Linked DNA regions of Rattus norvegicus. The protein of the gene in region 1 purifies or fractionates together with the protein of each later gene. This does not show direct contact. Links are inferred from orthologs where the notes say so. Each region holds a gene or a part of one and is shown on either strand. Other genes may lie near its edges.

Region 1 (15,041 bases):
TGCCATCATCTGAAAACCAAGCTTTCAACTTGGGAGCTTCTGGGTGGCACCTAAAGTCCCCTTCAGTTTGGCTACAAATTTTGCTTTGACTTCATAATTCAACTTGTTCTCTAGGGCGAATCCTCCTACCTCTAGCAGATGTCTTCTCCTAGTTCAAGGAACTGTGTTGGAATTGTCCATATCCAACTACTGTCTTCCTTGGTACTCAGATTTCTGAGGTAGGTAACAGTCTATCCTTAACTCCAAGTGAGTAGTTGGTCTTAGAATTTTCAGTTAATGTGCCTGATTCCTCATTTGAACTCCAGTGTCTGTATTTGTGTTTTCTCTGTGCTACTAGAACTATGGTTATAGCAATGTTGGTGTAGGAGGTAAACATTTTGCTGAAGAACCTAAACATACTTTACATACAGGAACAATGTATAAAGTACAAAATAACACAGATTCAAGGCAGGCTAGAAGTGAAAACTTGAGCTGAATTAAAGACGGTTGAACTGAGCGCACAGAAGACCTGGAATGTGGCAGGCAGGCAGGCAAATATGCAGGGACCAAAATTCTGAAACAGGAAACTGGGCATATGCTAAGGACATAATCCTTTCCAGGTTCTTCACTCATAGCTCACTAGGGTGCAGAGTGTGCTAATATGCTTAGCTTTGACACTAAGATCAAAACCAAACAAAAAATAAGGAGAAAATGAATTTAGGGGGGCAGGTTGGGCATGGTTTCTGAGACTTCATTCCATGAAAGCATGGCCCCACTGCTTTAGGCAGCCTCACATAGAAAGGACAAGCAGAAGAGGAACTTGTCCATCTTATGCTGTCAGAACCAAAGGGGTCACGATGTACCTTTCAAGAGCACACCCCTAGTGACTTACGTTCTTTTCATACTGCTCCACATCTTAAGGTCCCATCACCTACAATAGTAGATCAATAAGTAGGCCAGACCTTCACCATATTTGCCTGTGAGGTTCATTTAGCAAACCATAGCAGCTGAAGAGAAAGATCCGAAGAGAGACTGGAGGCTCGTGTTTTCGTCCTCCAAAAGGCGGTAGGTGTGACTTATTTTGCCAACCTGACTAGATCTAGAACCACCTAGAAGACAGACTTCTAGGTGTGTGTGTGTATAGGGAGGTGTCAGAGAACTTTAAGACAAGACTTACCCTTCACACAGGCTGGATACCCAGACTTCATATTAAAAACAAACCAAAAAGCTGGGTGAGAGAGCACGGTGTAATAGCACTCACCCCTACTTCTTCAGCGTACAGTAACCAGTCACCCTTGTGACTTTCCACCACATTGGAGAAAGTGAACCTTTTCTGAAGTCATTTTTGTCAAGTATTTTGTTACAGCAATGAGAAAAGTAACCAAGACAATGAGGTAATTAATATCCCCACCTCCGTCGGAATCCAATTCAGGAAACTTCACTCATACCTGGTAGACAAAGGTTCCACACTAAGCGTACCCTTAGGACTAAAACTGTTTTGTTCTGCCTCCATCACACGCAGTGTAGAGGTTAAATAATACTGCCTCTGCCATCTGGGTGACCTTACAAAACTCGCAATCTCTATACCTTTTTCCTTTTTGAAAGGGGGACAACAGTACTTGCACTTCATAGGGAAGTACACAGATAACTAGGATGTCCATCAGTGGACTAACTCAATGTCTGGCAAGGGCATAATACTCATAGCTTTAAGTGGCTTTGTCAACTGTGTGTGAATAGGGTAAAGGGTAAATAAAGTTCCTTTGAGAACCACATGACTAGACAATCTAACTTTACTGAGACTGCTCCAGTAGGCCCTCCACAGTACTGCCTCGGCCACCTGAGGCCCTTGTGTGATTTGTAGCTATGACCTAATCATTTGGGTAAGTGACTGCAAATTTCTGTAAAATCCAGGGCACTTTTAAGTTTAGGACTAAAAAATTTGTTATCTTTTGTAGAAAATATAGAAGACCATCCATACAGAATCTGAGAGACTAAAATTCGCCTGTGTGTGTGTGTGTGTGTGTGTGTGTGTGTGTGTGTGTGTGTGTGTGTGTGTGTGGTGTCTGGAGATGTCAGTTGTCTAGTCTTCTCGAAACCCTGGGTTCAATCCACAGTACCACAGAAAACCAGGCATGGTAGTTCATGTCTGTAATCCCAGCATTTGGGAAGTTGAAGCAGGAGAATCAAATCCAAGATCATTCTCAACTATATAGCAAGTTCCAAGTCTGAGGCCAGACTGGGATACATGGGACACCACCTTCCACCAAAAAGGGATCTAGAAAAGAAGGCCAGTGGAAGAACCTAAGTAAATCACAGTGTGTTTCTTTACTTCTCTCCCAAAATTTGTTATCAGATAAAAATCAAACTGAACTCTTAAAGGGAAAAGGACTACCCTGGCTAGAGAGGAAGATCAGCATGATAGGAGAGAATGTGAGCTATTTCGGTGACCCCAGCCTATTGAAAATGGCAGGGTGTAACCACCACATGCTACACTGCCGATAAAAAGCCAAGTAAACAAAAGTTCAAGAAACTGTAAGGATAGGAAGGCATCCCTGGCCAGCTTCTCTTGGGTTCCAAGAACTGGAGTCTGACTGTTCCTCTCATCTCAACCTGTCCAGCGATTCATGACCACTTACTTCCCTCCCTCAGTGATGGATTTGCTTAGGCCACCATTCTCAGAGGCAGGGAAGCATACAGAAACATTTGGAAAAGTCCCTCAGTGTTGTCCAAAGCCATCCTGTGACCTTAACGCCCCTGACTATATTCATTAGACCTGCTGCATCTACTTGAAAGCAACCTTCGTCTGGGATTCTCCTCACTCCTTCATATACTTGCCTCCCAGCAGTAATTCTTCATCAGCAAGCCTTGTTCTCGGGCTAGTCTTAGCTTAGGAGTATATAGTGTGGAAGCTGAGACTTTCTAGCGCTGTGGTTGCTTTGGGTCACCCACTATCCTTTAAGTAAGCCCAGTAATTCATTGGCTCATCAAGCTGGACACTGGGGTGGTCTGTTGTTGGTGCCTTATCCAGGGTGAAATGTTTTTCATGTCTTCCCACTAAATATTCACTTGACACTCAAAATCTTGGAAGGTAAGCTGGGAGCCTCCTAGGAGACTGAGAAGCAAAGCTGTAGTCTTACACATGAAAATGCTGAGGCCAGAGAGAGAACTGAGTGTTGGGAAGGAGCACGCATGCTCAGGGCTAACCCCCGGCTCCTTTCTCCTATTTCTAGGCTTTAGTTACAAACACCGCCTCATCTTCCTGTGGAATTTCCCTCTTCCCAATCTCCCATTCACAGATAGTCTTGATAACTGCTCTTTATTCTCTGCCAGGTTGGTTCTGACAGACTAATGGGTACCTGAAACCTCAGATCCCATAAACAGGCTAGAGACACATTGGCTTAAACTTGCTACTTTGAAAGGGCAGACAGGGGCCTGGTGCATGGTCTTGCAAGAACCCAGGCTCTGTTCCCAGCACCTGTGGAGGAAGGGTTATGATCACCTGTATTCCAGCTCCAGGGACTTCAATGTCCTCAGCTTCTGGGCTCTGCAGGCACTTGTGCTCTTCCACACATACTTACACAGTATACACATAACTACAAAAGTAAAATAAATCTTAAAGGAGAGGGTGGGGTAGGCTTGCAAACGATGATCAAATCTGGGCTTTTAAAATCCCATATGGTTTTTGTTTTATCTTATTATATTTTTGTTAAAATAAAAAGCCCATACTATTTCCATACAATCTGCTCGTACAAGAACCTGAGAAGTGTGGGTGGGGAGGAGATGAATCCTGGGTGAGATGACTGGAACTGCAGTCGGGATGTAATGTATGAGAGAAGAAGAAATAAAGGGGGGAGACAGGTAGTCTGGTGGTGCTTAGCACATGAAACTCAAAGAGGTGTTCAAATAAATGAATTTTATTCCAAAGGCCAGTGCTCCCAGAATCAAAGTTTTCTTTCCTACCATGAACTTGAGTCCTGAAAAATCTTCCATCCTGAGTTCCAAACTTACAGCAACAGAGCAGAAAGGGCGAGAATTTCTTAAACTATTGAGACTGACAACTGCAGGGTGTGTGGCAGCTGGCTTTTATCCTAGCACCCGGGCAGCTGAGGCAGGAAGACTTCTGTAAGTTCTACAGCAACCAGGACCTCACGACATTGAGCTAAGCAATTTAAAAGCAAACGTGGTTTTCAAGACATTGTTTTCCATGTCATTTAATAATTTAATGAGTTTTGTAAAAATTTTTGATATGACAATTTAGTAAGTTTTGTTATTTTCCTGGCACTATGATTAAATCCCTGAGAGGAGGAAATGAGGGAAGACTATTTTGGGATAGTCATAAGGCAGGGCAGGGTAGGCACAGCAGCAGGGAAGCAAAGGGGCCACAGTCAGGACAGAACTACAAACATCCAGGCTTGCCCCTGGTGGCCAACTTCCTCGAGCCAGGCCTCCACTTCTACAGTTCCACAAACACCCAAATAGGAGCAGTGGTTAGAGAGCAAAGCCCAGTAGGGACATGTCACTGCTTCCAAATTTTCTGACCCTGAGATGTCAAGACAGTGAGCCTGGATTTGGGATAATAGTGTACTATGTCTAAAATAACAAAGGAAAGTCTGTCAACACTGGCTAGTCACTGGCAATGAGGCCTACATGAGATTTTACTTCTGATCATTTAAAGTGTTTTCTTCTCTTAAGATAAAGTGGTGTAGGCAACCTAGACCCTAGAAGTTAAAAAACGAATAAAAAGCAGGGACAGAACTCAGATGCTCTTAAACGTGGGGAGGAGGAGCTGGAGAGATGGTCACTGTTGAGCACTGTTCCCAGCAGACCTGAAGTGGCTCCCATTGTCCGTAACATCGTTCCCGGGGACCCTCTCCTGGTCTCCGCAGGCACCAAGCATGCACACAATGGAAACATGCAGAACAAAAATAACAAACCCAGGAAAAGAGGGATGAATCTGCTCTTCTCAAGTTCAAAGCTAGAGTAGCTTCGGAGCTCTGGTCATCTGGACAAGACAGACGTGTGACCAATACTAGGTATGGTGGGCCAGGCATGCCTGTCATCCCCAGACTAAAGGCAGACAGATCAATATGAGTGGAGGCCAGCCTCGTCTACATGGTAGTTCCAGGCCAACCAAGGCTACACAATGAGATCTGTCTCCAGAAACAAAGTACAACAAAGAATTCTGGTATCAGTGTCTACAGCAGTCACTATGAAGAGTTCTCATTGTACTGCACAAGAACTCTCAAGAACCGGGCAATTTGTCCTTCCTCCCATCCTCAGGCGTGTGATCATCCCACAGGAATGACAGAGACCAGAAGGAGGAAAGGTGTAGCATGTGAACATGAACATGTTTTCCCATCACATCACGTACTGACACGTGTGCACATATTCCTAGGTTCCCCGCATCTCCTTTGCTTTCAGGCTGGATTCCAAGGATGCCCAATCATTACGTAGCAGCATCTTTACGTAAACAGAAGTAAACGAGAACTCGAAATACTACTAAGCATGACTAGTATGAGGTTGCTAGTTAGTAGCTCAATAGATAGCTTCTTGCTTCAAACTGTAATAATTTCGATGTGAAAGTTACTTATTTCTGATAAAAATTCCAGGGGTTGGGGATTTAGCTCAGTGGTAGAGCACTTGCCTAGGATGCGCAAGGCCCTGGGTTCGGTCCCCAGCTCTGAAAAAAAAGAACCAAAAAAAAAAAAAAAAAAAAATTCCAGGAGACATTACAATTGAATCAAATGTTTATTATTTTTTCCCCTGTGACATGGTATCATTTAGTCTTGCTAGATCTCCAAATGACACGGTTGCTGAACCTCTTTCAGCTGGCCTTGCCTGAAAACAAGAAAAATGAGAGACATTAGATGCAGATAAGGCCAACCCAGAGTAACCCCAATCATGATATGCATGATATACCCTAAGTCAATCAACAATGGGAAACAAGCAGAAACACAAACCCTCTAAGAACTATCATTACCTGAGAGTCATGGTATTTCCATCCTATCATATGGTAGATCTGATATGTGGCAGGAATGGAACCATCCTCATTGCTGTACATTTCTAAAAAGACAAACATCGTTAAATTCTGGAACAGTATCTATCTGCTCCTAATAAACACCTACTTCCAAGAGAAATGAGTTCTAGGCTAGCTGTAGGATCTGTGTGCCTCACATAACAAGGCTCAACACAGAGAAGCTGACACTATGGAAACAAGAACTGCTTGGAAACAGACACAGATAGGATCTATATTCTGAGAGAAAACGAAAATCAAAATTCCCACGAAGCCCGACAGCACCTTACTAGAAGGGAACGGCGCTGTGGAATGAACAGCACGCAGCACAAACCCTCCGTGACTGCAGGTAGAGGAGTGGGCGACTCACCTCTGTACACCGCCGCAGCTGCCAGCATTGTGTCTCGGTGCAGCAGGGCTTTTCTGTTCCAAGAACAGTTGCTCTCACCCATCCCTAAAAATAAACCACAGGCAGTCTGAGGAAGTACTGCAAACACGCCGAGCAGCTCAGCATCAAGACACGATCCACCTCATCCAACAGCACAGCCACTCAGTCTCACCGGCTTTCACATTCCTGCTGGGCCCTCACTGACTGGAGCAGAGCTGTTTGAATCCTCTGCACTACCAAGTCAAGGAAAGTTAATTCTCAGCAGGGAAGCACCAGGATCCTTCCCACAACAGCCACAGTCTACAGTGAGCCGGCTCAGCAAAAGCCACCTAGGCCCTAGATGGGTCGCAAGCATTGGCAAGGGTCTTTCAAAGAATACCTCACCTTATACCCCTTTTTGCTGGCTCTCTGAAGCAGGACACTGTGACAGTGCCTCCTTCCTTCTAAGCAGCACATAAAATTACAACTGTAAACTTGGATGAGGGCTGTGGAACTCAATGACCATGCCTTCAAATTGTTTTGATATTTTACCAACAACAGATTTAAAACTTATGTGTATTTCCCCATAGAGGCACTTATTTTAGTATTTTAAAATTAATCTACAGACCTTTTCTCTTTAAAAAAAAAGATTTATTTATTATATATAAGTACACTGTAACATAATTTCCTTTTAAGTTTTTTTTTACATTCATTTATTTATTATATATAAGTACACTGTATCTGTCTTCAGACACACCAAAAGAGAGCATCAGATCTCATTACAGATGGTTGGGAGCCACCATGTGGTTGCTGGGATTTGAACTCAGGACCTCTGGAAGAGCAGTCAGTGCTCTTAACCACTGAGCCATCTCTCTAGCCCCAACCTTTTCTTTAAGTCGATGGTAAGAGGCTATTTACTGAAAATTTCTATTGTATAGCTAGAGAGATAGCTAGGAGGTACAGTCTTTGCCTAATGAGGGCAAGAGGCTGGGGATATGTATGAATGGATACAGTGCTTGCTACACAACCACGAACTCCAGCTCACACATAAAGAGCAGGTGTGGTGGTATCTGCTGTAATCCTTATGCTGGGAAGGGAGACAAGGGAATCCTGAGGGCAGCTAGTCTAGCAAATTAGTGACTCCAGGCTCAGTGACAAAGGAAAACAGAGGGAGCAAGAGACAATGATCTCTGGCAACCACGTATACACATATAGAGGCTGCACATGCAACTCATATGCACACAGAAGCACACACCCCTACACACACACACACACAGAGAGAGAGAGAGAGAGAGAGAGAGAGAGAGAGAGAGAGAGAGAGAGAGAGAGATGTGCGCCTGGGTTCAATTCCCAGTACTATAAAAAATAAAAACAAATTAATGTAATATCAAATTAATGTTACCTATTTTTCTTTACATGTACATTTTAAAATATTTGAGAAGGCTATGTTTAAGATCATTCTACAAAAGAACTAAAGGAAATTTTACAAAGTTGTAATTATTCTTAATATTAAAATTTATTACATGAGCAAGTGTCTACTACTTCTACTAGTCAAGAAATGATCATTTCTTCAATAGTTTAAAACAGTAATCTATTTTTAGATTTTTATTTAAATAAAATTTATATTTTTATTGTATTGGTTTTATTAAAAGCAGCCAACAAGGAGGCTGGAGAGCTGCCTCAGTTATGTGCACACACCACTCTTGCTAAGGATCTGAGTTTGGTTCCCAGAATACACCAGGCAGTGCCCAAGTCTGTAACTCCAGCTCCAGGAATCCGGCCCTCTTCTGGCTTCTAAGGGCACTACTTCAATAGGAATGACACTCATTCTATTAATAAACCCAGTGTCCCATATTTTGTGAGTTTAATGGTCTTAATTCATAGATCATTAATAGTCACAAACTACTAAGCTAAGTTAATTAAAAACACATGACTGGGTAAGGTGATGCACATTTAAAATCCCAGCACTTAGGAAAGAGAGCCAGGCAGACTGTCATTTCAGGGTCATCCTCAGAGTCATTCTCAGCTGTGTGAGACCCAGGTTCAAGTACAGAACAAATAAAAAACCTCTAACCCATCAACCAACCAAAACAAAAAATACTGGGGACCAGAGCAGTGGCCAAGTGGTTAGGCACACATGCCGCTCTTCAGAGGACCTGAGTTCAACTCGCAGCATCTGCATCAGAGGCTGGTAACTTCTGGTAACTCCAGTTCCAGAGGATCCACTGCCCTCTGTGGGTATCCACATGTGTGCCATATGCTCTTAGAGACATACATATTAAATAAAAACTAACAAATCCCACTATATACCCATCTTAAAAATATTCTCCCACATGGTGAACATGAATCACATAGCATCGAAGTAAGGCAGGGTTCACACTGCGGCAGTCTCTTACCAACGATGGATACAAAACTTAGTTTCTGCTCAACGTCCCACTGCCCTGGCTTCATTCCAAATCACATGCAGCAAATACAAAGACAACCCCCAACGCACTAGACATCGCCAAACAACTGTTACTTACATATTCTAAGTAAGACTCTTAGGCATATGCCATCTCTGTGAGTCTGACCCAGCTGGGTTATAGAGCACCGATACACGCATCAACAGTAACTCTCTTGCCACCGGAGTCCACTGTCCCCTCAGAAACACACACTGCTGTCCAGAACTTCCTCTTTCCTTGTGAAGTACCACAGAGAGAGAGAGAACCTCGACTCTGATTGCAACCTTACATAACTTAGGATAAGCATGATTCAACCTTAGCGGACTCAGTTTTTCACCTTTAAAATGGAATATCTTGTAGTTCATTGTGGGGAAGCTTTACTGACAACCATCTAGGAAAGATGTCTGTAATGGCAACTCAACCAGGACTTGGGAGAACAGACACTGCCTGGCAATGGTTTTAAGATTCTCAGTGATTTTACATTTGATCTTGGCCAAATGCTGAGGAGAGATTTCTCATAGAGGTGTTTTGTTTTGGTTTCTCAAGAAGAAAGGATTTCTTTATGTAGCCTTGGCTGTGTTGGAACTAGCTCTGAAGAGCAGACTGGCCTCGAACTCACACAGATCCACCTGCCTCTGCCTCCAGGGTGCTGGCGATGAAGGTGTGAGCCACCACTGCCCGGCTTTCTCACAGTGTTTTTAAGGTTAAATTCAAATGCTTATTAAAAACAAACTTTAATGTGGATTACTGAAACAATGCTGAGCATTGCCTTTAAAAAAAACCTGAACTTACCTTAAAACCACTGTGAAAGCCTTGAAAATGTCTCATGCATTCATCAGTTGATATGAAACTTGTTTGTAAAATTAGGTCAACCTTCTCCATTTTTTTCTGTGAATTAATAATAACGGTAGCTAAAATGAGATACACCTCAACCATCAGAAAACAAACACAACAGAGATAGGGAATACAATCGCTAACTGGAGGACGCCACCTTCCAGTTGGCACAGGAGCACCCCAGCAAACACCCGCACGCCTCCACCTCCCACCACCCTCGGACTTTTCCCACTGGGTAAATAGTGGAGACTTCAGGATATGAACTAAGCTGCCTGTCTCCATTACAACTTGGACAAGTCCCTTTCTTCTCTGTGCCTCAGTTTCCTCATACACCAGGGCAGACTGGCCATGCTACTTCCTGTCTTACCCTCCTATAAATCATGCCTAACAAACAGGCAAACAATGTACCTTCTACTACACTTGAATCTGAGTCATCCCTGGGGAAAATTCTCCCAAGACAAGCTAGAAGGCTCATCTGAGAAAATCTAGAAGCTTCTGATCTTCTATGGTTCCCCATTATCTGCCTATTCTATACACTTAGGCAGCATTATTACCACATTCCCCCAACACAAGAGTAGGACATACATAACCTCTCATATCTCCCGCCCATGACTGTATACACACTCTTCTTGGTGCAACCCTCAAACTCTCCCTACCCTTCATCCTGGAAAACTCACTTTAGCTCACCTAGGTTCTGCATTTTCTATAAGACTCTTAAGCAGATTTAAAGTCAATTCCTTGTGTTTCTCTCATTTTAAGTAGAGGTGTGTCTGTCTAGCTTGGGAGTCTTTTCATCTAGAATATTAGCAACTTGAGATGAGAAACTACAGATCTCCACCACTAGCTAAGGACTCAATAAACAGTCAGTGAATAAATATAAAAGCCATCAGTTAATGCTTCTGTTTAAACAAATAACATTTTTACAAATTATCTTTATATGATTCTTAAGTCACCTACAGATAAAAGACATCAAAAACATGACTTTTGTAAAAGGCCTGACAGTAGAGGTAAGAGATCTCTCTAAAGGGTAAGCATTCAGAACAGTTCCTCAAACTGTCAGACCTACTTAAAGCCCAGGGGGCAGGCATTACTAATAGGGAAGGGGCCCCAAAAAGGTTCTAAAACCTGATCTAGAAAGTGGTTAAAATGCAAGCATTGATTTACCGGAAGACCATGTGTGGTGGTTTGAAGAGAATGGCCCCCATAACCATAACTGAATCCTTTGTCCCTAGTTAGTGGAACTATCAGGGAAGGATTAGGAGACATGGCCTTATTGGAGTAGGTGTGGCTTTGAGGTTTCAAAAGTCCATGCTAAGCCTTTCCCTACCTGCCTGCCAATAGATCAGAATGTAAGATCCCAGCCCCATGTGCCATGCTGTCCTGCCTGCCACCAAGCTTCCTACCATGATGATAATGGACTAGGCCTCAAAAACTTCCACTTAAATGTATTCTTTTATAGCAGTTGCCTGGTCAGTTGGTGTCTCTTCACAGCAACATAACTAAGACACCATGTGTCTCACACCTGCCTTCTTGCACCTTCAGATTGAAGCATTTCTCAATCCTCACCAGAGAAGCTTCTTTTTGTCATAGATGACAGTCAACACTGAGAGCCACAAATGGCCATGGTGCAGAGAAGTAGAGACTGCAGAATGCTCAGTTCTAAATGGAACACACACACACACACACACACACACACACACACACACACACACACACACACTGAACCCCCTGTGTCAAAGGCTCAGGGATCATCAGACAGAATATAGGAGCCAGCAGGAAATGACAGGGAGGAGACAGTGTCTTCTGGACGTAGCAGGACAGCTGCACATGTAAACCAGTGTGGTAGCATCACCTGGAATTCCCCAGCCAAATCAAGTCCCAGCATGGAAAGTGGAGCTGGGCAGTGTTCCACCCCTGCCTGAGGAGCGATTAGCCACTGTTAGCTGGGAGAGGAAGGGTCAGTTTTCTCCAAGAGTGTAGTCATGATAAGTTAGCTACATTCCAGCAGGCTACAGATCCAAGCAGCACAAACTGACGTTGAGGGCGTGGGAGAGGGCAGAGACATAAAACTGGGTGGAAGGGAAGGCGGATGGGTCTTAAAAGAATTTGGAGCGAGTGAATATGATCAAAAACTTATTTTATGAAATTCTGAAAGAAACAACAAAAAACATTTTTAAAAACCACAAGCAGTTATAACACTAAAGCGTTAACAAAAAGGCTAATCTCACTATTTGAAAGATGCAACTATATATTTTAGTATAAATACATACATACATACATATATATACACACATATATACACACACATATATACATATATACATACATATATACTACATTAATGTATAGAATAAAACTGTGGATTCAAGTAACTAATCCTAGGTTTAGCATGACTACAGACAAGGTACTTATGCCTTTGATGAGTTCACCTGTAAATCAAGACATTAGAAAACCTTGTGCCAGATACAATACAGCACTCAGGAAGCAGAGACACGCAGATAGTAAGTCTGAGGTAAGCCTGCAATCCAAAGCAAGATCAAGGCTAGCTTGAGGGTGCAAAGGCAGATCCTGTATCGAAAAATCAGAGGCTGGAGATGTAGCTCAGTGGCAAAGCACTTGGATTATATGTGCAAGGCTAAAGTTTTTGATCCCTAGAAAAACAACCCACACATGGAAAGAAAAAGAATAGCCCAGAGAACTGCAGAGTAATTACTGTATTTTTAAATCAGTGGGCAGTAACCTTTTCCAACTGATAGATCTAATTTCTTGTCTCTTTCTATTTTCTTTCTTGAAATGAATCATGAGTACAGCATTTATTATAGACTAGTAGAAAATAAACACTGTATTCAAAGAATTATTGTTGGAGCCTAAATGAGAAATTATAATTTCATTACCATATCTTAAGCTTTTACATAAAAGGGCTCCATGTTTCTGAGTCTGTTTAGTACTTGGGGACATTTCAAAAAATGTTTGCTGTGCTTTATTATCTTTATCATCTTGAGTGTGCACCAGTAGCCTACCAATCCTGTTTCTCATGATGCAAAGGGACCACAGTGATTAGTTTTTGTCTATGTGTATCTTCCTATGTTAATAGGACAGTGTAACTGCACTCTCAGAAGAGTGGTAAACACGTGGAACAAGAAACAGGCCAGACCCTTACCACTAACAGACAACTACAGCAAGCAATGAGAGTCGGGTAAGACGCCAGGGCACAAGACAAACGCTTGGCACCTAAGTCAGCCACTCAGACTCAAGGGTTCTCTTTAGCCCTAATGCTTCTTACTCAACATAAAAGCAGTTACCAAGAGGAACACTGGGAAGAAAAAAGTACAAAAATGTTTGTAAAAACCATAAATCTATAAATGTAAGAACAGGCAAGCAATTACATAAATTTCATTATTTCAAAATGTATTATAAATTTTCAGAAACAGATGAAGGCTTCCTTACAGGCAAGCATAATTCTATTTCATAGACGCCCCCCCCCAACTTTAACTCCTCTAGCCATCAAAATTGCCCATGCTATTAGTGAAGAGTGTGTGTGTGTGTGTGTGTGTGTGTGTGTGTGTGTGTGTGTGTGTGTACAAGCCGTTCACAAAGTCTCACAAAGGAGGACAGCTGTAATTTCTCCATGGCAGGTGTTTCTTCCTGAATAAGTCACACTTTTTCAAAGCCGAGAGGCGGGAGCTGCATCCCTGCTGTCCCTCAGGGTGTCTGCCTGGTCGTGATTTGCTCTGCCTGTGAGACACCCTCACCCTGTAGCGGATAGCTCCCCCTGCTGTAACTTCTGCTGCTGCTTGCTGGCAGATCTCAGCCTAAGCAGCCCCTCCTTTGAAGGTCTGGCACTGGCCGGTTTTCCTGTGCACCTCTCACTCTGAGGGGACAGGTTTCAGTAAGTGTTAGTGTCCATCAAGTTCCACTCTCTACCTCACCTCCAATGAGCTTCGTCCTCCCCTCCGCCCCTGTATGTGTGAGATGTCCCCGACAGAGTTTGTAACTTTAACCCCTTTACTTTCAAGTCACCCACCAAGCATCTCATTTTCCGAGTGCATCACCCAGCCCTTTCAGCATTACTGAGTACTTCAGCTGTAATCATTTCCTGACTGTGTGGAGACCGCTTAGGTACAGCAACGTTCATCCAACTTCCCAGCTCACGTTTGCCTTCCACTTCACCATTTCAATTATATTTGTAGAGTGATCTTAGAAATAGCAGGACACCAACCCAAACTGACCCAACTTCCTGTTGCTGCCAATCAGGTAAGTCTGATTGACTTTAGTGAACCCTTCAAACTCTGTAACTTCCCCTAGTCATTCACCTTTCTCTCCAGTGACTATGTCAGTGCTTCTACACAATTCTCAGACTAAGAATCTCCACACAGCATTACTTCCTCTGTATCAAGGCAAAGAGCCCCATAAGCAGGATCTTCTTGCTATCAAACACAAACACCTAAGTGCACTAACTATCCTCCCGTCATCAACATATCTGCCTCCACATTCCCCAGTCAGCTCTGCTGCAGTGATGTGGGAGACTCAAACTACTACAGCAGGCAAGAGGCTCATGAATGGGGCCAAATTTTTAAGATGACATTCACCAAATGCAAATTTGACAAAGGTCATTGAATAAGTCACAGATTAGGATAGAGAAGAGAAGAAGAAATGCCACACCCTAGAGGAGCTTTACCAGATGAAGCAGACTAAAGAATGTGTTCTCACGGTGGGCGGGCATGACCATGAAGAGGTAAATCAAGAGCTCTCTATTGATACCAGGACCACCCCGCAGGTTGGTGTGTACCAGGACACTAAGACTAGACCTTGAACACAAGGCATTTGTAGGGACTTTTGAAGGTCTAGGTGACCAGCCTGATGAGCTACATAATGTAACTTTCAAAGCCAAGCTAAAGCTCTGGATCTGAACTAATGATAAGGGCCTTCCCCAATTCTGAACAAGAGACCGCAAACATGTATGTAGGAAAAATGTACTACAACACATTAATGTGAGTAGATCATGCCTTTAACCCAAGCTAAGGCAATGCAGAGTTCAAGGTCAGCCTGGGCCAAACCATGAGACACAGTCTCACAAAAGCAAATGAATTTGGGAAATCAATATATTTTGGTACTGGAGATCAAACCTCGGGAATGGAAAACAACATTAATAGGGTCTGTTACTGTTTAAACATGGAACCCACCATCACCACCTCCACTGCCAGCACGAAAAGGCTCATGTGTTTGAAATATTGGTCCCCAGTTGGTGGCACTGCTTTGGAAGATTGTGGAAGAGGTGAGTTCTTGAGGAAGGAAGTGAGTAACTGGGATGCTAAGCCTTGAGCATCACAGCCTGGCTCTGTGTCACTGTGGCCTCCTGCTGTGGTCTCTCCAACTGCCTCTTTCTCCTGTCACAGTGCCTTCCCTG
Region 2 (15,986 bases), on another chromosome or scaffold:
TGGGTTCTGAGCTCACCGGGATCCTGCAGAGCAGGAGGTAAGGTATCTGGAGATGGAGTGGGCACAGGACTCCTGGGCACAACTGCGGTGGAACTAAGAGGCTGGAGGAAGACTTGGCTCCCAGGGGGAGGCACAGGGCTGGTCAGCAGATCAGCTGGGCCCACAACAGCAGCTGCAGAGTTGGGCTGGGCACAGGGCCTTAGGGTAGGGAACTGTTGTCCACAGGAGGCTTCCAAGTGTCTCAGGATCTGGAGGAAAACGGGAAGGAGTTGGGGGTTCCTGTTTATTGCTAGAAACAGTGAGGGGCAAGGCTAATTGTTTTTTAGCACAGGCAGGTACCCAGAGTCACGACATGGCATGACACAAGTCCCCCTGAACAGATATATGGGCAGGCCCAGCCTCAGAACCTCCCAGGGGACCAAGGTTACTCTGGACAAACGTTCCTGTGATGTTACCCAAGTTTACTGGGTTTAACAGGTGCTAACAGTGTAGCAGCCAACCTGGACTAAGAGGCTGCAACACATTTAGTAGCAATAGAGAAAATAAGAGACCCTGGCCGGATGTGTAGTCATGCCTTTCATCCCAGTACTTGGGAGGCAGAGGCAGGCGGATCTGGGAGTCCAGCCTGGTGTGTCGGGTGAGTTCTAGGTCAGTCAGGGTTACATAGTAAGACCCTATCTCAAAATGTAAACAATCAATCAATCAATCAATCAATCAAACAAACAAAGAAAAAACCAACTAGGGGTGCGACCAAGCAGACAGAACAGGCACAGGTGAGGAGACTCAGGGCCATGGGAAAGACTCTGGAGATGAGGCAGGGTGAACCTGCCCCAAGGAAGACTTTCTGGAGCAGGGTGAGTATGTGCAGGACACAGGATGGTGAGCCAGGCACAGGAATGAGTGGGGGAATGGGTGGGTGTCCAGGTAAAGCAGGCAGCCAAGGCACCCATGGTGCAAGTCCAAGGGAGGTGGGCACCAGCCATAGGCAGGGCTGTAGGAATGCGTCATAGGTGCTGACCATGGCCACCTGGGCCATGAGCGCTGAGACCGTCTGGCGCTCCCAGGGCCCACGGCTCACCTTGGTGGCTTTGTTGGTCACAGGCCCAGGGCTGCCTGCACCAAGTTCCTGCAGCTGCTGTCGGCACAGGAGGAGAATGTGCTCCTGAGGAAGGAGGTCAGCACTTCCAAAGGACGCTATGGCACACAGTGCCCTCTGTGGACCAGAAGCAGGGGAGAACGGGAGTCAGCTCTCCACGGCTCCTCAGGGTCTCATGCCACCCTCCTCTGTCTTGGCCTTGGATGAGGAGATACTAGCCATGCTGTCCCCACCACCCTCTCCATGTTGCCCAGGTGGACACTGTCAGCCAAGGGTGCCCTGCTGTCATCCACACAGATCCACGTATCCCTGCTCCTTCACACACGCACAGTGAGCTCCCTCTCGTCCTCACCATCTGCTCACACTCACTGGTCCCGACCAGCTGCTGGAGGAGCAGCTCCAGCACAGCCTCACAGTTGAGCAGGCCGCACCTGTACAGGGAGGGGACATATGGGAGGGATCGGGGGCAGCCACAGCAAGTTCCCTCCTCCCTCGGGACAGATGCACACAGGTGGGCAGCTCACTCTTTGATGAAGTGCTGCGTCTCCTCACGGCTCAGGAAGACACGTGGCCCCTGTGTCACAGTCCTCACTAGATTCAGTTCTTGCTGGCAGTCATTTGGGGCCATGCCCTCAGCCCTGGAAAAAGTACAACAGCTCGGCCAAGTCAGATATCTAGGTCTCAGGTAGAAGGGTGGGAGAGCACCCTCTAAGCTCCCACAGTGGGGTCTGGGAGAGGTGACCATCTATTCCACATACCTCTCTGCCAGGTCGCCTGGCTCCCGGCTGGCACCAGAGTGGCTATCACTGCCAGACCGACTGACTGAGTCTGAGGCCCTGCTCAGGTTGCTGGTACAGGAGGAATTCTGGGAACTAGGACTGCTGTCCATCTCATCCCAGCCTCCTCCAGCCTGCCCGGGCTGGTGTTTCACAGCTGAAAGATGCAAGAATGGCAGTTAAGGCCCCAGGACTTTTCACAGACCTCACACCACCTTCTTAGGGACTCTGGGCTAGGAGACGAGAGGTTGTGTCCTGAGCTTACAGGACAGCTCCAGAAACTTCCAGCACACAAGATGGGTGCTTCCTGCCTCCTGCCCTTGTGACAGTCCTGCCTAGGCACGAAGGCACGTCTAAACCTCTAATGTGGCAACCCTTACCGCCTTACCTCTGGTCCCCTGGATAGCCGCAGGGAGGAGATTCCCGGGGTTGGGATGTGTGTGGCTAGCTGAAGGTGTCACTGCAGGCTGGTAGGCATCACCGTGTGGCAGGGGTCCCTTGGTACAAGGATTATCAGGCCCAGGACGCACAGCATTCACCACTACCTCTGCGGCCCTCTGGATGGTGGAGAGGAAGGTTTCACCTGCAGAGCCTGTACACAGAGGAAGTGGCATCAGCACCCCAGCCTCCTTCCCAACCCCGACTGCATGCTCCAGGAGGGCCAGGGCAACTGTCTGCTCAGAGCTACGGAGGTACAGACAGACACGTGCTTCAGGTGGAGCACAGCAGCTGCACTCTGGTCTGGACTCTTGGCTTAGAGCAATCAGTTCTGGCAAGGGATGTTCTACGAGGGCTGCCCTGGGTAGTCAAAATGTCCTTGTCCCTTCAGTCAAGGGGTACAAACACGCAGGCAAGGATGGTCAGGGGGCTCCGTATACAGCCCCAAGGATAGCTGAGATGGCTTGCTCCATTCTGTGCTGTCAGATACACCTTCAACAGACAAGCTACAAGTATCTGACGAGTAGGACCCACACGTACCACGCTGTTACCACCGGCACAGATGGCCCTCCAGGTTCCTGTCATGGTTGGATCCTTGCTCCTCAAGCAGTACCAAAGGCCAAGGCCAGCTGGATTTAAGTCTAGCTTCTCCTTCCTGGCCATCAAGTAAACCTGGCCACTCTTGCCAAACCTTCCTCTCAGCTGGGCAGAGGAAACAGCACAGGGGAACAAGCACATCCAGGAAGTAACAAACGGGTCCACATGGGTACACTTGGGGACAGATGATCTTGATGCCATTGAGTTCTGGCCCTGACCTCTACATGAATATAAACTCTTTTTTCTTTTTTTTTGGTCTTTGAGACAGGTTTTTTTGTTTTTGTTTTTTTTCCCATGTAGTCCTGGTCATCCTGAACCAGGCTGGCCTCAAACTCACAGATCTGTCTCTGCCTTCTGGGTGCTGGGAGTAAATCTGTACATCTCTCTACCCAAGAGTCCTGTGTCTTACCTGTCCGGCTGCTCTCCTTAGTATAACCGAAGCCTTGTAGAGCACTATGAGGCCTGGCCTGGGCGCCCATGCCTAAAAGAAACTGGCATCAGCGTAGGCCTCCCCGGCCCTGCCCACATGCACAGAGACATCTAGGACACCAAGGGACAACCTCTGATGATGGCAGGGGGGTGGTCACCGAGTGGCATACCTGCAGGAGGCAGGATCTGGGGCGGCTGGGAGGGAGGCTGTGGCAGTGCGTCTGAGAAGAGGGTGCTACCCAGGTCCTAAATGAAGAAGTGGGTGCTGAGTCCTACCTGAGCCCGCTGTTCTGCCCACCCCCGCCAGCTCTGCTCTGTGTCAGACAATTCTCTCAAGCTGTCCAACAAAGGACAGGGGCTGTGGCTCAGCTGGGCCCCATGCGGCAGGAAAACAGCAAGCACCTCACAGACATTCTGTCGCCCTAGAGTCTGGGCAGTGACCCTGTCCAGAGCTCACCTGGGCAGCCGCCCGCACTTTCTGGTACAAGCTATTTCCATGAAGAGGATCCGGAGGCCCCGCGAAAGCTGCAGGGCAGAAGACAGACGGAGAGGCTGAGCCTGGGTACTCTTTGCTACCCATGGGGCAGGCCAACCCTCCCAGAGGGTATATCCCCCAGCTCCTTCCTCAGGGGGGTTGGGGATACAACATTTAACATTCGCCCTTGACCACTGGAGGTAGCGAAGCCACCATCCACCTCTATGATATCTACTGTGTCTGCCAGAGACAGACTTCTTACCTCCCACCTCCTACCCTCGCTGGACTTGTGCTTACCTAACTGCTTCCTTGGGTCCATTCTCCTCCACTCACCTGCAACACGACCCTTAGCAGTTTCTCAGGGCCTGGATGGTAGACCTGAGGTCTCTGTCAGGACCTTTTTACGTATTGTTTTGCACCTGGCTCCCAGGCTGCTTCAGCCTGAGATAAAACTCCCTCTGCTAAAAAGGCCCCCTCAGAGAAAACGAGGTTTTCTCACACCACGTGAAGCCAAGCTTTCCTTGGCTCAGGGCTTTGCACATGCTGGCGTATACCATAGCACACCTATATATGCCAGTTCTGCCTCACCCTTTTAGGGCTAAGAGTCATTCCTCAGAGAGTCCTTAGTGGGTACCTCCAACACTGACACCTTTTCCATTCACAAGCTCAGACCAGTCAGAGCCCCAAGTGTGGCACCCAAGGGTTGTGTGTACCGATACCCACCCCCTGCTTTCCCTGGGCACACCTGTGTCTTTCCATACCTGTGGCTTCTTGGATGAGAGCAGAGTTTCTCCTAAGGATGAGCATGAAGGAGGAAGAGCCGTGACTGCACAGGTAAAGCAAGATCTTCAGCACCTGAAGAACCAGCAGACTCATGGGGCTGGCGGTTGCGAAGTATCTCTCCCCCAACCCAAGCTGGCTCCAGGGACTGAGGCCTCACCTTGAGCTTCACGTGGCCAGAGCTACTGTCCAGGCGGTTCAGGAGGTACTCCAGCAGGCACTGGCTGCTGCCCAGTGACTCGTGGGAAATCTCTGAGAGTCATTTGGGTCAGGGAAGCAGGCTGACACAGGCCATACCAGGAAGGATCTACTGGCTGAGAAAGACTTGCCTTCCGATGACCATGGGACTCAGGTCTCACTTTGAAGACCATGACCACAGGCTTTGGTCTAACCAGCACTGGAACTTTTAGCGTGTCCTGGTCTCTACCTTATTGGTATTGTAGTTTTTAGTGTTCCCTCCCCTCCTCTTACCCCACTCCTACCCCCATCTGGATACTAGGAAAAAGAAGTTGCTGGTGCTCCTGGGATAGCAGAAGACCCCATCTTTGCCCAATAGCCCTTCCTGCTAAGTCAGGACCCCCGCTGTTTACTAAGCACTAAACCCACCAACGGTGCAGAAGGATACTGGCAATCTCTTCAAACAGGTAGCCTGGGCATGGGATGTCATCATCTGAGGTCCCCTTCAACAGAATGGGGAGCTGAAGAGGAATGAGTGCCATGGTGAAGCTGCCGTCTTATATAGGGTAGGTCCCAGCCACTGAAGGGAATGGAAGCAGGCAGGCCTCATGCTGACTGGTGCCGAAACTGCCCAGGAGAGCCTGGGAGGGACCACAATCATCCCAAGGGCCACAAAGTGGAGCTGTAAACAGGCTTTGCTCTGGCACGGAGGAGTGACCCAGGAAAGAGGAAAATCAATGACGGTTCTCTAGGTCAAGATGAGATTCAGTCCCAGCCTTCTATGCTCATAAGTGTGAGGATATTTTAAATCTACCTACTTATCAACCAGCAACAGCAAGAATCTCGGGGCTTTTTGTGTGTGATGGGCGAGACACCAGCCCTCCTGAGTACAGACCCAAAGGGCTCAGCTTGGCGGGCTTCATGGCTCCTTGAGGGGTTTCAGTTCTATAGTCATGAATCAGCATAGCTGTGCTTGCTTACTTACTGCCTTGCCTGTCACTGCAAACATATGGTGTTTACTTGGTTGAGATCTGAGTTTCCAGGATCTTCAGAAATGAAGCCTGGGAAGAGGGGATGGGCCCCGCTGGAGATCGCTCGCCGCCCTTGGGGTTAACCTCCTGCTATCACAGCAGGCGCACTCATTTTCAGCAGCTGCTGGACAGTTTGTCCCCGCTAATCTAGCAAGGTCCCCGAGCGCGAGTGTCAGCACACCCGGCGAGTTTCACTCACCCTATGTAGAAAGCTCAAGCGGTCTCGCAGCGGCGGAACGGCTGCCATGGTCCAGGTAACCTCCCAGTCTGCCACGCTTCCGCCAGGTTTCGATCCTCCAATCGTCGCGTTTCTCTGGTTCCCCCAACCAATCGTTCTCAGGAGGCGGGCACAAAGGCGGAAACATCTGAGCCTCAGCCAGTCCAAAGTCCCAGGTAGAGTCGGACAAGAACTAACACCAATTACAGAAGCACAAGACAGCGACTCTGACCAACCAGAAAGCAGTAAAAGGCGGAGGGACCGGATGTTCACACATTCTACACCGGAAGAGGCAGGGCCCAAGATGGCGGCGCCCACAAGGGCCTGAAAGAACCGCTCATGTCTGTCAACGGAGCGGTGTGGGGGCGTGTGCGGAGCCGTCTCCGAGCCTTTCCCGAGCATCTGGCGGCCTGCGGAGCTGAGGTAAGCAGCGGACGGAGCTGGGCTGCAGGATAAGCGGAAGAGGGTGGCGACTCTGGTCAGACCCTAGTACTGTCCGGTCTTCCCACAGGCCTCGGCGTATGGGAAGTGCGTGCAGGCCTCCACTGCCCCAGGAGGCCGCCTGAGTAAGGACCTGTGCGTGCGCGAGTTCGAGGCCCTGCGGAGCTGCTTCGCCGCCGCGGTAGGTGGGCATGTCCTTGCTGCCTCGTTCCTTTCTGGCTTTCCTTTTCTGCTGCTTTAGGGCAAGGCCAAGCATACTTTTTTCTGCCAATCAACTCCAGGAAGGGTCATTGAAGGGTGGAAGGACCTCAAGTTAACTTTGCTGAAGGCCGACCCCAGCTCAACTTAGTTTCTCTCAGAAGTTCCTGTGCGTTGTCCGGGGAGCGCCCTGCTAGGCACCCCTTTCACCGAGGAGTCAAGTGCAGTGTCCGAAGCTAGTTCTCATTGTAGCACAGAAAAGATGATGAGAGCCTCTTGGGTCTTCAGCCTATGACCCCTCCACTTCAAGTCCCCTCTGACTTTGCCTGGCCATGGTCCCTGTCAGTTGCCGTCCCACTTACAGTCTTGTGAAGACGGCCAGCAGCGTAAGACCATAGTGAGACCGGGAGACCATAGTGTATGTTTCAGACAGAACAGGTAGGTGTTATCAGGTAATGGGTCTTTGACCTGCAAGAGTCTTGGGCCCTCATCCTACGATAGGTTCCTAGAATTATCACTACTACTGGTCTCCTGGGTATTGCTGATTCGGCGGGTCTGAGGTAGGTCATAGCAGCACTGCTGCTGGGAGATGCCAATGCAGAAATAGGACGAGAGATAGGGTCGGGGGTTAAAAACGCAGAGCCACGGGGTTGGGGATTTAGCTCAGTGGTAGAGCGCTTGCCTAGGAAGCGCAAGGCCCTGGGTTCGGTCCCCAGCTCCGAAAAAAAGAAAAGAAAAAAAAAAAAAAAGAAGTGGTAGAGCGCTTGCCTAGGAAGCGCAAGGCCCTGGGTTCGGTCCCCAGCTCCGAAAAAAAGAAAAGAAAAAAAAAAAAAAAAAAAAAAAGAACGCAGAGCCACACGGCATATCTGAAGCAGTTCGCTAAGTCCACAGTAGCCTTAGGCAGAAAGAGCAGTGTTTGGGAGACCTAAACTTTCCTTGAGTTCACTACAGTCTAGCCTTACCTACAACCTCTGACTAGTTTCCCAGCAGACGCTGTTCAGTCTTCAGGTGCTGCGCTTTTCTTGTTCCTTCTACCTTGATCCCTGCCTTTTGGCTGCCTTTCAACCCTGTACCCCTCCCTCCCTGAGCAGGGAGGCAATCAGACAAGCCTTTACTCTTGTGGTTGGTGGCCAGCAGCTGTCATCAAAACCCTAGACACACTCCTAGTGTTCATAGTTTCTGCTGTCTCTGCCACCCTCTCTGTGGTTGACCAGAACTTTGTGGCTGGTGAACTGTTGACTCCATCTCTTTTCTTGCCTAGACCAGATAAAGGTATCCCACATCCATCCGTGCCCAATCACAGGGCCCAGGCTCCCTCTGTAGGTGAGCTCAGGCTGGAACCCCCATATATACACTACCACCTCAGTTCTTTAGGGTGTTTGGGAGAATGTGACATTTGTTTGCTTTTTTTTTTTTTTTTTTTGGTTCTTTTTTTTGGAGCTGGGGACCGAACCCAGGGCCTTGCGCTTCCTAGGCAAGCGCTCTACCACTGAGCTAAATCCCCAACCCTGAGAATGTGGCATTTGATGTCTTGCTTTTAAGCCATATCTAAAATTGGAAATAAGTTGCTGAAACAAAATGTTTTCTCTTTCAGGCCAAGAAGACCATGATGGGAGGCTCCTAGGAAGAGCAATGGGCACAGATGCGTTGTACTGACAGCACTCATGGAGACCTGAATGTGGACAGCAGAGTTCCTGGTGTTACGTGGTTCTTCCCACCTTGAACCTTGGGCAGGGCAGGGCTGTTTACACAGCACTTTGTGTATGAGGATCTGGATTTGATTAAGATGTAACATGATGATTTAACATTGCAGTTTCAGACTTTTATATAGAGAGCATGGTATAAGGAACTGGTCTCTCCTAAGGACAATGTATCCAGAGGACACCTGCATCCCCACCCCACAAGGGTGGCAGGTCTGGACCACAGAGCTCTGCCACAGGGACCTCATTTAAAACTGCACTCAGCTGGGCATAGTGGTGCGCACCATTAATCCCAGCACTCGGGAGGCAGAGACAGGTAGATCTCTGAGTTTAAAGCCAGCCTGGTCTACAAAGCAAGTTTAGGACAGCCAGGGTTTGTTACACAGAGAAACCATCTCAAAAAAAAAAAAAAAAAAAAAACAAAACAAAAAACCCCAAACCAAAGCAAAACAAGAAACCCTGTTCTAACCAAGGTCTGGGGAAACTGCTCAGCAGTTAAAAGCGCCTGTTACTCTTTCAGAAGACCCAGGTTCAGTTGCTAGCTCCTACATGGCAGCTTACAGCCATCTTTAATTTTAATTCCAGGGGATCCAACACCCTCTTCTGGCCTCAGCAGGAACCAGGCACACATGTGGCACACAGACATACAGGCAAAACATATAAATCTTAAAACAAAAACTCCCTATTTTCATCAAAAGTATTTAGTCTAAGTCTGGCTCACCAAGCCTCTGGATCTGACAGCTTAGCGTAAGGCACACCAAAGACAAAAACAGCAACAGCAGAAGGGAGCAAGCCTCCAGCATAAGAAACGGCCTACGGAGGGAGGGCTGCCCAAGAATTGGCAGAGGCTTTTCTGCACAAAAGCCAACAAGGAGGTTCTCTTTGGACCTTCAGTGAGGGGACAGCCATCCCTGCAGCCTGTCAGGGACAATGGCTCCTAGCCTTCATTCTTTTCCTCCTCTTCACACAGTGGGCTTAAAAAAATTCAGGAGTGCAGAGGATTCTCTGTACCTGCTGGGGAACATGGGAACTACTGAGTCCCATTCTACTTAGGTGTGGTGGTCATGGTGTCCTTGACAGTGCACCTGCCTCAGAACCCTGATTCCTGGGAACAGGGTTAGGGCCAGGGACCATCATGCCCTGTATTCCATGCCTAAATCTGCACCTCCACGTGGCATCTCACTGCTACTCTGGAACTGGCCTGACCGTGCGGGAAAACCCAGGTTTTTTAGTTTAAGATTTATTCAGCGTGGACAGGTGTTGTAGCTGTGTGTGTGTGTAACACACACACACACACACACACACACACACACACACGTGTATATGTATATTACACTGGAGGTCAGGGAGGCACAATGGTGTTGGAACTGGAATTACAGAGAATTGTGGGCTGCCATGTGGATGCTGGGAGTCAAACCTGGGTCCTCGACAAGAGCAACAAGTGCTTTTAACTGCTAGGCCATCCCTTCAGCTTCTAGAAAACTCACATTTGGTAGATTCCGAGTCCATCTCAAGACATGACTTCTGGGCTCTCACTGAGACCCAGGTGTTGGTGTGATTGCCTAGGGATTACAGATTGTTGTCTGAGTGTTCTTTTCTCCATGTTCTCAAGAGCTCACAGCCCAAGACCAGCTTCCTCAGACTGACTCCCCACCTGCCAATATCATCTTCAAGTTTCCCTGAAAGCTCACTGACTGGAGCCTCTTACATCTCTGAATACTCCCAACTTTGGGCCCTCAGACTTGTCTGGCAAAATGTTCTGTCCTTTCATCTTCCACCTTAACCCTGAGGAGGCAGACAGTCCCACTGCTTTCCATGGTCCTGCATAACCCAGGCCTACTACAGACTCAGCTCAGCTCTCAGGCCTCAAGCCCCACTCCTTCCAGCTGTCATGATTTGAATATTAGATTCTCGTACACACAAGAACGAGACTATTTTGGGAGGTCCTAGAAACTTCAGGAAGTAGGTCATTACAGGCATGCTTTTGAACATTGTGCCTGATCCTCAGTTCCTGTCCAACAGGACATGGAAAACCTCTACCATATGCTTGTGCCACAGTGCTGTCTCGGCTGATCACACAGGCCAGGCAACCTTGGTACTGAAACTGAAAATCAATCAAGTTGTCCTGCAGTATCCAGGCCACTGCTGTACAGGCTCCTTTGGCCTTTGCACCTGCACTAGTCTCTCTCAGGAGTGCATTCACTGGCTACAACAGACGCTTCCACGGCTGCCACAGCCACATAGCACTGACTGCTCAAGCATGTAGTCAGCTTGTTGGGGCTGAAGCCCAGAGGTTACCTGTCAAGTTCTAGTGCTGTGAGGGCCCTCCTGCTGAACCTTTCCTGGGCAAGAGAGCACAGTTCAAAGGTTGCCTTGGTGTACCACCTTATAGCCTAAGCACTTAAAAACTTCCTCCTGGTTCTCCTACTTGGAACCCTGCAACTTAGACCTCACTGAACCAATGTCTTGGCCTTGGATGAAATCTGGTTTATTTTTTTTTTTTTTTTTTTTTTTTTTGAGGCATGATTTCTCTGTGTAGCCTTGGCTATCCTGGAACTCACTCTACAGTCCAGGCTGGTATTGAACTCAGAGATCCACCCACCTGCCTCTGCCTCCTGAGTGCTGGGATTAAAGATGTTTGCCATTCCTACCCCAGCTGTCTGTTCTTTTGAGAGCTTGAGCATTACTCCCTGTGCCCCGCTCTGCTGCCCTGGAACAGAAGCATGCCTCCTAGCCTGGTAGCATTGCTACCAAGCATACCTGTTCTACAGCAGAATCATCTGTGGGCAGGCATCCCACTGCAGTAGCCTGCCTACTGGAGTTGACCTGACCCAACTAGTAGCTAGTAGCTGAATTGGCAGGCTGCTGGCCCAGGTTTTACAGGACCCAGCTGGGAGCACCGTCTCCCTCAGCAGTTTTACAGTTTGCCAGCAACCCCCACCCCACCCCAAATCTGTAGCTGTGTTCTTTAAGAAGTGCCCTTACCTGAAGGTGCTAACAGCAGGATTAGAGGGGAGAGCTAGGAGGAAGAGCTGGGAACAAGGACAGCCCTGCCTACTTTTAGAACACAATGACCTCAAGATACTCAGGACTATCAGGCTATGTAGAAGTCCCAGCCCCAGCAAGGTGACAAGAGTTTTGATCTGAGGGGAAGGCCAGGTGGCATCTTTCCACCAAACAATGCTGTATTTGGAACTGGTTCTAGTCAGAAAGGATGGAAGCCTGACACCCTCTTCTGACATCCAGGGGCACTGCAGGCATCTGGTGCAGAGATAAGCAAAGGAAACATTGATAGACATAAGTAAATTAAAAAAAAATAAACTGTAATAAAATACATTTCAAGAGGTGCAGCAGGTACACAATAGGGTGTGGCCTGGTCCAAGTATGATTCCACTGAGGCTCCTGGTGCTTCCAGGCCCTTCACGGCAGGGCTTGGGGACAAACCAGGCTGTTGTCCCTCAGTCTCCTTACTGGGCAAGGGAGTGAGTGACAAAACATATCAAGTATTCTCTGCTCAAAGACAACAGTCATGACTTCCTGCTCTGACTCCCAGGACACTACCCTGACAGCTGCAGTTGGACAGAGGGCAGCTCTACTCTGAGCCTAAAGCCGTGTAGATACATCCCAGGGCTTGCTGGTGGCAAGCCTGTGCTCATTGTCCAACCCCTCCCTACAACAGGGATCAGCACGGGGGCCTGTTGCCTGTTGCTTCCCCAGCAGCACTCAGCTGGTTCAGGAAGACGGCTGGGGCGTGTATCCCCATGACCTCTAGCCTCTAGCTGGTTTGGTATCATCCAGGATCCTGAATGTGTTTTCCTTTAGGTAAACCAACTTGACTCACTACTTGTTAGTGGTGTTTTATTTTTTGCTTCATAATCAGGTTCAAAGAATGTGGATGATAAAAACCAGGAGGGCTGTGTGCCTCCTTTCCCAACCCAAGTCAAGTCCTACCCACCCCAAGGCAGACAGACATCCCTGATGCAGGTTTCCTTCTATGGAGAACATGGAATTTATCTAGTCAGTGGAATCTGGCTGTCACAGGTTGCAAGTTAGATGAAGACTGGCAACTTCAAAGTTGCCTGCCTTGCTGTCAGCACTGCCAGACTGAGTCTGAACAGCCGAGGTGCCGCAGTGCATCACTGGAGCTGAACTGTATGTAGCACTGCTTCTCCTGGGCTGGTTCAAGACCCACCATACTAGGGCCAGTGCGTGCTTTGGTGTGGCCTTGGGGCAAGTGAAGCCACAGAGGGACAGATGCCTAGGGTTGGGTGGCAGGGTAGACTTTCGCAATTCATCATGAAGGACTTGGGAACATAACAACATGGCCTCCAGTCAGGGTGTCGCCAGAGGACACCGGCTGCCTGCCGTCCAATGTCTAGCAGCAGCCTTCCCCTGACCAGGTTCTCAGGCTTCCTCCAGGTCTCCAGACAACTGTTTAATCTGCCGGCTGTGCACCACCTGTAATGCGGCCCCTGCAGCCTGGCGGAGCTGGGTGTCCAGAGCACTGCGGAGGTCGTTCACCTGTACGTTAGGGAGGGAGTTAAAGCTAATGATGACTCCATCCTTTGGAGCCAGCTCCTGCTCTGGAGGAGAGGCGAGATCCCGCCGTCTCCTCCGCAGGTCAGAGCCAGCCTGCACTTTCAGGTCTCTGTTAGGTTTGGCATTCTCAGGCTTCTGATCCCCAGGCACAGCTAGTTTGGGCCCAGAATTCGGATCTGGTCTCTGCTTTTCCTCTTGCATAGCGGCAGCCCCTCTTCCTCTGTGCTGCTCCTCAGCAGGGATGCCAACCCCTCGGGGGCCCTCACTTCTTACCTCTGGGTGAGAATCCTGACTTTTGTCAAAGATGACCTGGGGTTCTTGCCGAAACCTGGCTTGGGCCTGAAAGCCCATACCTGCTGGCCCACTAGCTGGGACCTTGGTGGGTTCTGAGTGCCTGGATTTTGAGTGAGAGTCCTCAGCTTCTGCCCCCACTAAAGGCTGGGCAGCCTCTTTCTGAGTATCAGCACCAGGGGCCACTGCATCCTTTCCAGTTTCCTTCCTTTCTTGGGAACCTTCACCAAAGACATCTTGGCGCTGCCTGGCAACCTCCTTGGCAAGCTGCTTCTCTGGACTCTTGGGCACCTCAGCAGGGTCTGGCTTGTGCACTGGTTCCAAGTCCCCTGGGACCAGCTTCCTCACAGCTTCAGCCACCTTGAGGGCAGCACCTTTTTGGTCTTCTCTCAGCTTACTTGAAGCCCCATGGGGCTCTGTGTCAGAACCACCAGCAGGAAGGTCAGCAAGGTCTCTGCCTGCCAGTACCTTGACTTCCTCCAGAGGGTGCTGGCCCTTGTCTTGGGATGGAGCAGGGTGACCCCTAGGAGCTCCAAGCACAGGTTGCAAAGGCTGTGAAGGGTTATCTTCCAGTGTCTCCCCAGCATGCTCATCTGGGGCCCCAGCATGCTCAGCCTCCTCTTCCTGTCCTCTGAGTACAGCCGCCCCAGGCTCTGGCTGCATGTCTGCTGTGAACGAAGGTAAGCATTGTTTTAGCCAAAGAAATGGACAGTTGGTGATGCACTGACTGAAAAGAAACTTTCAAGCAGTTAAGAACACTAACTGCGGGGTTGGGGATTTAGCTCAGTGGTAGAGCGCTTGCCTAGCAAGTGCAAGGCCCTGGGTTCGGTCCCCAGCTCCGGAAAAAAAAAAAAAAAAAAAACACTAACTGCTCTTCCAGAGGTCCTGAGTTCAATTCCCAGCAACCACATGGTGGCTCACAACCATCTGTAATGGGATCCGATACCCTCTTCTGGTGTGTCTAAGGACAGGTATAGTGTACTCATATACATAAATTAAAAAAAAAATCACCAAGAGCTGGAGAGACGACTCAACAGTTAATGTTTGCTGCTCTTGGAGAAGACCAAAGCTGCTCTCCCAATACCTATTCAGGAAGCTCACAATGGTCTTATGTAACTCCAGTTCTAAGGGGTCTGACATTCTCTTCTAGCCTCCACATACACACATAAACACACACATAATAAAAATAAAATTTAAAAACAGGATCAAGACTGAAATCTTCACTGTTCAGGCTCTGAGCCTTGAGTCTAGCCCCAGACCTGGTCTGTCTTCTGTTCCCCAGGGCTGGGTTCTACCTACCAGGCTTAGGCTTGTCCTCCTCACCCTCCTGTCGCTGCTGCCGGATCTCCTTGTGCTGCTCCTCAATCACTGCAAGCAGCTTCTCCTGCTGGTCCAAGAGGCGCTTCTGCTGAACCTGCTGCTCTTTGATCACCTGTAGCAGTACAGCATGGTCCAGCATCTCTGCCCTCCCAGCTTCTGGGGGAGACACACAACATCAGATGCACCCCAGATAGGGTTGCCAGACACCTGTGGGACTGCTGGCCCTGTGACCCATGGGGAATCGGTCCTGTCATGCCTGTATCTGCAACACCATCTGCATCACCTCAATCCCAGTGGCACAGCAGTCAGGCTAGAGGGCTAGGCCCTAATCTGGCCAGCGGTAGTCATACCTGCATTTGCTCTCCCCTCAGTGGGTCAGACAGTGGTCAATCCCAGATCCCTGTCTGCTTCTGGCTGAAAATGCATGTCCACACAAAAATTGAGAAGGAATGTACCAGAAAGTTAGTAGTAGGTTCTCTGAGCTGGGTGGTTCTCCTCAACTGCCTCACACATTTGTTCTAGGGCTAACACAAGAGAAAATAAAACCTAAAAGCTATCTTTAAAAAAAGTTTTAATATTTTAAGAAAGTTTCTTGTAAGATGAAGAGAATTTTTTTTTTGAAGATTTATTTGTTTTATGTAAGTTCATGGTCGTTGTCTTCAGACACACCAGAAGAGGGCGTCAGATCCCATTACAGATGGCTGTGAGCCACCATGTGGTTGCTGGGATTTGAACTCAGGACCTCTGGAAGAGCAGTCAGTGCTCTTAACCGCTGAGCCATCTCTCCAGCCCCCAGATGAAGAGAATCTTAAAAACAAAAGTCTTCAAGTGGAACATGAGAACCTGTCAGTGTGGCCTGGATACCAGGGGACGGCTGGGTATTCAGGAAGGAGGGGAGCTTCATCTCGTCAATGAGGGGGAGTCAAGCCTCGAATAGCACAAGTAAGAAGACCTTCCTATTCAAACTTGCTGTGTCCTATCCACAAACCCTGGCGGGTATGATCCAGTCACCATCAGCTGATTTTGGTGGCCACTGACAAGTACATCAAGGGCTGGCTGGCTTCTCACTCTAAGCACATCAGCACTGGGCCAGCCAGTTATCCATAGCAAGCAGCTATGGCAGGTTAATCTTCACAACTCATACATTTTTAAGTTAGGCATCTTTAGAAGATGATGGGTTAGGGATTAGGTATCAGAGTATAAAAGTGTCTTACGTGGGAGTGGGGATGGAACACACCTTTAATCTCTGCACACAGGATTCAGGCAAGCAGACCTTGGTGAGCTAAGAGGCCAGCCAGGGCTATATAGCTCCCAGGTGCAGGGCACACATTCACAGGCTCCCACCAGTAACTAGCTGAAGCAATCCATTTTCAGAGACCTTCCAAGGGTCACAAGTATGTTCCCATGAGCACACCCTAGGATCTTCCCAAACCCTTCAGTAGCCAGTGCAAGGAAAGGCAGGTTGGACCATGGAGAGGATG

The links.
Region 2: the proteins of Ndufaf5 (region 1) and Ndufaf8 purify together in Homo sapiens (affinity purification with mass spectrometry; 3 studies listed by BioGRID and IntAct, counting the BioPlex papers as one, with this or other methods). This does not show direct contact. The link is inferred for Rattus norvegicus from reciprocal best matches to the Homo sapiens genes NDUFAF5 and NDUFAF8.

What each region holds. Positions count from the first base shown.
Region 1 is NC_086021.1:147,981,796-147,996,836, reverse strand, and holds the end of Ndufaf5 (arginine-hydroxylase NDUFAF5, mitochondrial precursor), read right to left. Parts: intron 9,689-15,041; exon of another isoform or gene 9,593-9,688; intron 6,447-9,592; coding exon 6,363-6,446; intron 6,043-6,362; coding exon 5,960-6,042; intron 5,818-5,959; coding exon 5,731-5,817; 3' UTR 5,709-5,730; downstream 1-5,708. UniProt on the Homo sapiens protein: Arginine hydroxylase that mediates hydroxylation of 'Arg-111' of NDUFS7 and is involved in the assembly of mitochondrial NADH:ubiquinone oxidoreductase complex (complex I, MT-ND1) at early stages. May also have methyltransferase activity.
Region 2 is NC_086028.1:105,873,593-105,889,578, forward strand, and holds Ndufaf8 (NADH dehydrogenase [ubiquinone] 1 alpha subcomplex assembly factor 8), read left to right. Parts: upstream 1-6,315; 5' UTR 6,316-6,355; coding exon 6,356-6,439; intron 6,440-6,527; coding exon 6,528-6,638; intron 6,639-8,249; coding exon 8,250-8,279; 3' UTR 8,280-8,467; downstream 8,468-15,986. Other genes in the region: AP-4 complex accessory subunit tepsin, read right to left, coding at 1-248, 1,079-1,213, 1,449-1,527, 1,621-1,734, 1,855-2,029, 2,261-2,464, 3,317-3,388, 3,507-3,582 and 5 more; Slc38a10 (solute carrier family 38 member 10), read right to left, coding at 12,760-13,853, 14,485-14,661. UniProt on the Homo sapiens protein: Involved in the assembly of mitochondrial NADH:ubiquinone oxidoreductase complex (complex I, MT-ND1). Required to stabilize NDUFAF5.